2 linked regions of the Caenorhabditis elegans genome follow. The protein of the gene in region 2 purifies or fractionates together with the protein of the main gene of each other region. This does not show direct contact. Each region holds a gene or a part of one and is shown on either strand. Other genes may lie near its edges.

Evidence for each region.
Region 1: the proteins of C33F10.4 (region 2) and gcy-27 fractionate together in Caenorhabditis elegans (co-fractionation; one large-scale study listed by BioGRID). This does not show direct contact.

What each region holds. Positions count from the first base shown.
Region 1 is NC_003282.8:17,434,748-17,438,678, forward strand, and holds the start of gcy-27 (Receptor-type guanylate cyclase gcy-27), read right to left. Parts: upstream 1,885-3,931; coding exon 1,811-1,884; intron 1,473-1,810; coding exon 1,391-1,472; intron 1,348-1,390; coding exon 1,060-1,347; intron 1,012-1,059; coding exon 940-1,011; intron 845-939; coding exon 670-844; intron 311-669; coding exon 119-310; intron 1-118. Other genes in the region: C06A12.8 (RxLR effector protein), read left to right, coding at 2,712-2,783, 2,829-2,961, 3,137-3,192, 3,238-3,408. UniProt on the Caenorhabditis elegans protein: Guanylate cyclase involved in the production of the second messenger cGMP. May be involved in sensitivity to quinine by regulating egl-4 activity through the production of cGMP.
Region 2 is NC_003280.10:4,793,711-4,797,641, reverse strand, and holds C33F10.4 (Alpha_adaptinC2 domain-containing protein), read right to left. Parts: upstream 1,882-3,931; 5' UTR 1,878-1,881; coding exon 1,680-1,877; intron 1,365-1,679; coding exon 936-1,364; intron 891-935; coding exon 495-890; 3' UTR 425-494; downstream 1-424. Other genes in the region: htip-2 (Protein HTATIP2), read right to left, coding at 1-267; F26G1.1 (VPS35 endosomal protein sorting factor-like), read right to left, coding at 2,132-2,284, 2,331-2,451, 2,537-2,686, 2,732-2,919, 2,971-3,168, 3,220-3,639, 3,735-3,894.

The sequences.
Region 1 (3,931 bases), on a different chromosome or scaffold from region 2:
CAAAGAACATCCTAGTTTGTCATATTTAACGGTCCTCATTTGAGTTTCATTTGATTTGGTCTTCATTTGTTTGCGAGTCGACTCATTTTGACCCATTGCAACTTCTCAACTAACTTACCAGAACCCGGTCGCTCAACTGAGTGAATCAGTCGATATGGATCTTCACGTTCGATCATCATATAAAAAATCATTCCAACGCAATAAATATCGCCTTGTTTACTGCCTCTTACAAATCTGGTTGGCAGTTTTCCAGTAGCATCATATTCTCGAATATGCTCCGGCGGAAAACACACATACTGCGCGTAAGATACTGAAAATAAGAAAAGAAGGCATATATTCTTGGGGTAGGTGGCAACCAAAAATTTTCGGTCATCGGCAAATTCGGAAATTGCCAAAATTGTTGTTTTTCGGAACTTTTAAACATTATTTTTCAAAAAATAAAAATATACTTTGTTTTTCAGTGTAAATGTTGTGGTTGAAGTAACGGCGTGAACAGGTAAAACAGTTTCTGATTGAAAGATACAAATTTTTCAAGAAAATTCAAGTCAAATAGGTGTAGAAATTGATAATTGTAGATTTCCGGCTATTGTCAGCTTCCAATTTTTCCCGCAATCAGCTATTTTAGAAATTGTTGTCTGGCTTTTTTGCACATTGTTTTGAATTACTCACTAGTATAGTCACTTCTATCTGGCATCGTTATATTTTCTGCGTCGAAGTTATCACACACAAAGTTTGTGACCCCATATAATGCAATTTTCAGTACCCAATTTATATCTATTAGGCAAGTGGCTGCGTGAAGATGACCGTGATACGCAACAGGAGATAGGTGAAGATATTGAAGACCCTTGAATTAACAATCGATTTGTGATTTTTATTATAGAATTATTTTTTTTAATCTTCAGTTGTTCATGGAGTCTAATGAATAACGCAAAATGTTACCTTCAAAATATCTCTCATAAATGCGGATTTGAACGTTTCATCCATACCGAAATCTCGATCCAAACAAAATTCCTTGAATTAGCCTGATTTTCTAATTACTGAGAAATGTAAGTCTTGTACCTCCAGTGTTCCTCGTTCCACTAATGCGTGTAAAATTGTCATTGTGTTGAGATCATCATTCAATTGAATACCATAGAAGTTTGCCAGATTGTCATGTTTCAGTTGCTTTAAGTTATACAAAAAGTCTAAAGAAGCATTAGTGATATCGATATGTTTAATTTGTCGAAACTGAATAAACTCTGCTCTTTGGGTGCCAATTAGAGCATATGAGCCAAATACCCTTCGTCGTGATGTTAAAGCATTTGCTTCATCTTTTGCTGTTCTATTTTCAAGTTCACGTTGCATTCTCTAAATTTAAAGACGCATTTACTGGTAATTTGAATTTTATTACCGCATCTGCATTCTTGTTAACAATAATTTTCAAAGATTCCTTTGGAACTTTCCATGTCATCTTGTACTTCCGAGTATTTTCCCTGAAATATTAAATGACTTTCAAAGGGAACAAAAACGTTTTGTTTATTAAACTCCTCAAAAATATAATTATTTTATGACTTTATCGATAAGGCAGTTCTTTTAAAATTTTAAAAAACTCGTTCGCAGTAGCGACAACTACACTTGATGGAGTATACTGACGAGAAAAATATTACAAACTTTCATTCATACTATCAAGTATAATGGACATACCTGTTAATAGAAAAACTATTCAGTTTATTACTTAAATTTTTTAAAGTTTTTTGGAACCTGCTACAGTAAGAAAATTAAAGAAACTTTTTTTTGTAACGTTTCAGAAGATCATGAAAATGAAAATTACCCTATTACAGTTTCGTAGCACCAATTATAAACACTATATGAGAAATCTCGGATGACAGTGATAAGCTTGTTCATTTGGTAGAAAATAAATAAAATGAAAGTTGTATCTCGAGAAAGACTCTGAAATGTGTGAGTTATTTTTCCATGGCAACCGATACTTGATGAGTATGTTCACAACTACTCATTAACAAGAAAAACTTGTGAGGAGGCAAAGACAAAATAAAAGTGCAACCTAACGGGCATTAAAACTTGAGGAACATTTGATGATAGTATAGAAAAAAGTGTTCTAATTGAAAACTTGTCTCATGCCAATTTTGGTTTTGGTATTGGCCTAGATTTCAAACAAACAACATTATGATTTCGCGAGTTAATTTATGAAAGTTTATCAAACATGTAACTAAAACCTATTTGTACTCGAAAAAAGTGTTTATAAAATTTTTAATATCGTTTTAGTTTTCAGGAGAAGAAAACTGTAATTCCTACAAAAAACTGTACCAGCTGAAAAGGATAATGTTTTGTTCCCCAAGATTTACTTTCAAAATTACATTTTGAAAAAAACAGACGAGCATGAGAATATAATTTGCCAAACTTTTATCTGATTTTTTCAAACACTAGTGTTTCAGCGAAAGGTATCAATGCACAAATATTATTTTTTTAAAGTTTCATAAAATTTCCAAGTTTTGCCCAGAATTATTAAAGTATTTGTTCGCATCTTTCAGTTTCTTCATATTTTTCTCTTCTTCTACGTCAATTGTCAAGAAAAAACTATTTACATCTTTAGCTGATCGCGGACAAATAAAATTATCATATCAATAAAACCTTTGAATTTTGTTTTGTTCGCCTCAATCAAAGCTGCACCTAAAACCGACAGTTTTCTGACTAAAACTTTTCATTCAACATCAATGAAGTTTGGTTGTCTATTCGGTTTTACCATCTTGTTTTTCATTGTTCTTTTCCAAAGTATCGAAAAAACTGTGAGTTTGAAAAAACGATTATTAAATTTTCCAGTTATTTTATAGACGGCTTATGTTGCAAGAAATATCACGGTAGACCGAGCAATTGACACAATGCTTATGAAAATACAGTCTGCTGTCCGGAAAAGAAATATGACAGAATTTGAAAAATACTTTTCTGCTAAATTCGATTCGGAATGTATGTGGAAGTTTGTTAAGTTGAAAAATGGCTCCTGGAAACAATGCGAAAAATACGAGCTTTGAAGCTTGTAACACGAATAAATTATTTGTTCTTTTTTTTGAGATGCGAGAAAAAAAAGAAAGCTCGGTCATCTATTATGAACAGAGGTTTAAAAATTTTTATAATTTTCCAGCTTGGTTTGACCGTTACTATTCGGAACTTTCTGAAAGACAGTTGGGCTCATTTGTGGTAGTTTGCGTCATCTCCCATGTTATTTTTGAACGCTGTTTTCAGCTTCGCCGCTTTGGACACGTAGATGCACGTGGCAAGGATTTCAAGTTCAAATTTTCGGAATCTCATGACGTTCCTGGTCATCTACTTCTCCGGTCGTTTATCGCATGGACCAAGCGATCCTTCACTAATGCATTTGCAATTCAAACAATTCGATATTATGGAGAGTATTGAAAATTTCATCAGCCAAAAAAATTTTACTGCTTCAGTTGTATTAATGAAAAAATAATTACTGAGAACAATATAATGCAAAAAAAAGCAACACATCCTTTCTTACTTGAAGAAACTTTACGAGATAAAGTCTATAATTTGAAATATAACTAGATACGGTAATGAAATCTTGGTCTAATTGAATAGACATTGATAATTCAAAGCCATAAGAAAAAATCATTTCGATATACATTGAAAAGCAATTGTTTTGTAAAAAAAAGTAAACTTTAATAAAGCAGAATGATACTGGTTTTTTTTTGAATGATTGTAGTTAACTTCACTCGTATCAAAATTTCTTCACTTGTAATCTTAGGCTTTATCAGAACAGAACACTCAAAGTTTTGTAAATGCAATACATAACTAGTGAGATAATGTATAATATTGCATTCATAAGGCACGGGAAGAATATATAATTACTGCACCATCCACACCAGGCAACAATTGTGAAACATCTAAAAAAGAGCCAGAATCGATCTGAAAAATTAAT
Region 2 (3,931 bases):
ATCGACCTTGTAGAATCCATCAGCACCGGACTTTCCACGTGTAGTTCCCAAAGCACAGAATGCCACGTCAACTCCTTGAATATCCTCGGCGTTCTCTTCAAGCTTATCAAAGTCGACAGTTTTTTGAATCAGCTTGTCTCCAGTGGCTCCGTCGACTGGTCTTCTAGCGAGAACAACCACTTTTGAAAACTTTGTAGACTCGGCAAGCAGCTTGACGAGCTCAGAACCAACAGCTCCGGTTGCTCCAACGACGAAAGCGCTGCTCATTTTGCTGTAATGGATAAATTAAAGTTAATCTTAAAATAGATTATTGGAAATTCAGACATAAACGAAGAACAAACAAATTCAAACAAACGGCAATAAGTTAGAGGTAGAATCTGGCAATGAACCAGTAGTTTTGAAATTGACAAAATTAGAACCAACATACCAATATAATTTTTATGTATTCTTTTGTAGTAAAACCCGAAAAAAAAAGTTTTTGAGAATTTAGGAGTTCAGTTGAATGCCGCAAGCATTGTCTGGAATAGTTCTTCAACGGAAAGTGCATCCATTTCCGTGAGTATCAATATTCCTTTAGCTGGTCGTGATTTCAATTTTGACATTTCAACGATGAGATGAAGTCGAAGTTGCTCGGCGAGAAAAGTGAGACTCCGTGAGCTTTCAGTTCCGATTGTCAATGTGTGATAGGATGTTCCATCCTTGGCACAGCTTGCCTTCACCAATATGTTATCAGAAGACGTAGATGGTATGCACATTACAATGTGATCTTCTTGTACATTTGGAACGTTTAGAATTGATTTGAATACTTGAGGCACAGAGATCACAGTATCTGGACTGCCAGAGAGAAGATTGATAAGAGAATTTGGAAGCCGAATTGTTGAAGTGAAACTCTGAAAACTGCGAATTTGATCATCTATCTAATATTTGTATCCTACCGTTTCCATATTCTTCCGCTCTACTCTCTGTGCTTGATTCCAAGCTGTTACGAGAATAGGATCCAGCTTCACTTTGAAGCATTTCACAATTCCTCCAAGTTGATAAGTTCTTAGAAGAGACAATTGTAGAAGGACAGGAGGATCCTTGCATGTCAACTGGCATTGGAATGTTTTCCGAATACCAGGAAGAAGGCTTCCGACATTGATTGTTTGACAGCACGAAGATGAGCTATTCGGGAAGATGGACGTGGGATTAATTGAAATAACCCAATCAATCATCGGCTGATTTGTGATATTGTGAATGGTTACGAGAAGTAGAATTGTGCCATCATGTAGATATCGAATTTCCCCATAGGTTGCCACAATTCTGTCGATTCGTTTTGTATAACATTCCTCCATTTGCTTGCAAATCATGAAGAGGCTTCGCACCTAAAAACACCATTGTTTATAGGAGTTATTAGAGCTACAATATTATATAATTACTATGAAGCGAAATGTTGCGTCAAAAGGACGGTACTCGGTCTCGACACGAAAAATTTTCAAACATTTTTAAAAAGGGGTTGCGCCTTTACAGGTTACTGTACTTTCAAATTGTCGTTGCTGCAGAAACAAAAGTTTAAAATTACAGTGCTCTTTAAAGGCGCACGCCTTTTCGCATTGAAAATAAAATTGTCGTGACCAGGGGAGATACCAAAAATGAATTTTTTCGCATCTTCGTAATATGAAACTGTGCTGAAAACCCACTTCAACAGCTAAATCATCTAATTTTTTCGATTCTTCTTTCAACTTTTGATATTTCTCAATTATCGATTTTCTATCCATCGTGTGTGATGACGTCGGCGCTCCCGCATCGAATGAATCGTCGGAATCAATTTGTATGGGCTCCGTGTCCATTCTATTATCGAAGCCTCCAAAAATATCATCGTCGCTTATATCTGACATTTATCTGGAATTGAGTTATAGTTACAGGGGAAAAAGTGGTAAAAGAAAATAATAAATGGAACTGATCCAATTAAAAATATACCAAATAAACGTAAATATAAGAAAATTGAACTTTTTTTTTAAATATTTATAACTAGTTAACTGCTATTTAAAACAATTAAAATATCACATATTAACAACTGATGTTATTTTTATTTTCCCGTAATTTTAGACAAAATAAGTTAGACAATAATAAGTTAATAGGCACTGACAAATTATAAAAGTGATAATCTCTGAAGAATATCTCGGACAGTTTCATCGTGACTGGCTTCATTCCGGAGATCCTGAATGATTGCGTCAAGGCGTTTTTGCAAATGAGCAGGCGAGCCTACTGATCGTTTCAGAAGACCTCGGATCGTGGAGCGCATCTGAAAATTTGAGGGTAGTTAAGATAGTTAACGGTTCAGTGAATACCTCTTCATGAATTTCAAATAACATGACAACATTTTCCAGTGTAATTACTGCAATGGTTGGGTCATTGGCGAGTGAGAATAGTTTTGTGATGACGTCAGAAATGTTGCAATCCACTCGAATTCTGGAAAATATATTTTTAGATTATTTAAATTTCAAAGTTGTCAATTGTTTTTCTTGAATTTTTCAAAAATTTTTTAAAGACTCACAAATGATCATCATCGCCGAAATGCAATTTTTGACTGCTATCTGCTCGAAGTGGATCAACTTTTCGGCATGTACACAGGTAACGGAGCATATTGATATAAATCTCTGCCAGTGGAACTCCTTTATACTCTTTTGACCATTCTTCGTGATTTCTGAAACATTTTTAAATTATTGTTCACAAATCTCAATAAATTCACCTTTCAACAATTGCAAGTATTTTCGAAAAATGCGAAAGAGACGGCATTTCTTCATTAAATCCTTCTGGGCAGAAACTGAGTGTTGCGAGGAACTGACTGATGAGAGGGGATACTGTAGCACACACAGAAGGACCGTTTGTGCTCATTTCGTCGAGATATTCTATCACACGCACACTCGACATTTCCATCTAAAAGGTTTATGTTTTATTTATATTTTGGCAAGCTTGTTGGAAAAATACTTGAGGAAGAAAATTGGCAAGAAGGCACATTTGAATGTTTTGCACAGTCATCTTGACGCGTCGGGACGGATCTCGGACAGCTGGGATTGTAAGTGATAGATTTGTGATGCACACTCTCATAAAATCCGCTTTTCGCTTTCCAGACTTTTGAGTACGATGGATGAACTGTGTGAAATTGAACAAAGTTTCAATGATGTGCTGTAAATATTTAAGTTTTTTTTTTCAAATTGTTTCTAATTCAAAACTAACAATTAAACTATTCTGCCGTAATCCCATGTCTTCTCGACATCTGACTATTAATTCAATGCATTGATCCAAATTTGTAAATGCTTGGAAATCAATCAGAGAAAGTGAAGAGCAAACAAGTTGCTCCGCAGCTTTGACTTCTTCTGATTCTTCCAGTCTATACGCTTTGCACAAAGTTCGACATTTCTCAATAATGAATTGACAGGCAGATATATCGGAAATCGTGTGGCGTGTGAAGGTTTTAGAGAAAATTTCCAAAATTCGTCGAGAACAGTCTGATGTTGATTGAATATCATAACCGATTAGATCTACTATTTTGATGAAACTATTTGACGTGACAATGTCCAAACAATCAGATTTATTTGCATTATGTTCCAGGAAGGCGGCAATTAGATTGATGAGAAGAGCCGTGTTTTCTGGCTTCTGAAAATTTTAATATTTTGGTAAACATTTTTATATCGGTGTAAATACATTTTCGGGTTTTTTGTTGTAAAATCTATTAAAAAACCGAAACTAACCTTAGTTTGATCATCAATTCTGAGCCGAACCAAAACCAATTCCAGAATCTTTGTGACTTCCTTCAAGGTGTAATATTTTGTAATATAAGATGTCCATGCAGCACAGCAATCGACAAAAGTTTGAAAATTCGAAATATCTGCTACACGCATCCATACTGACCTGAAACAACTCTCAAAACAATAGAGAGAAGTAGAGA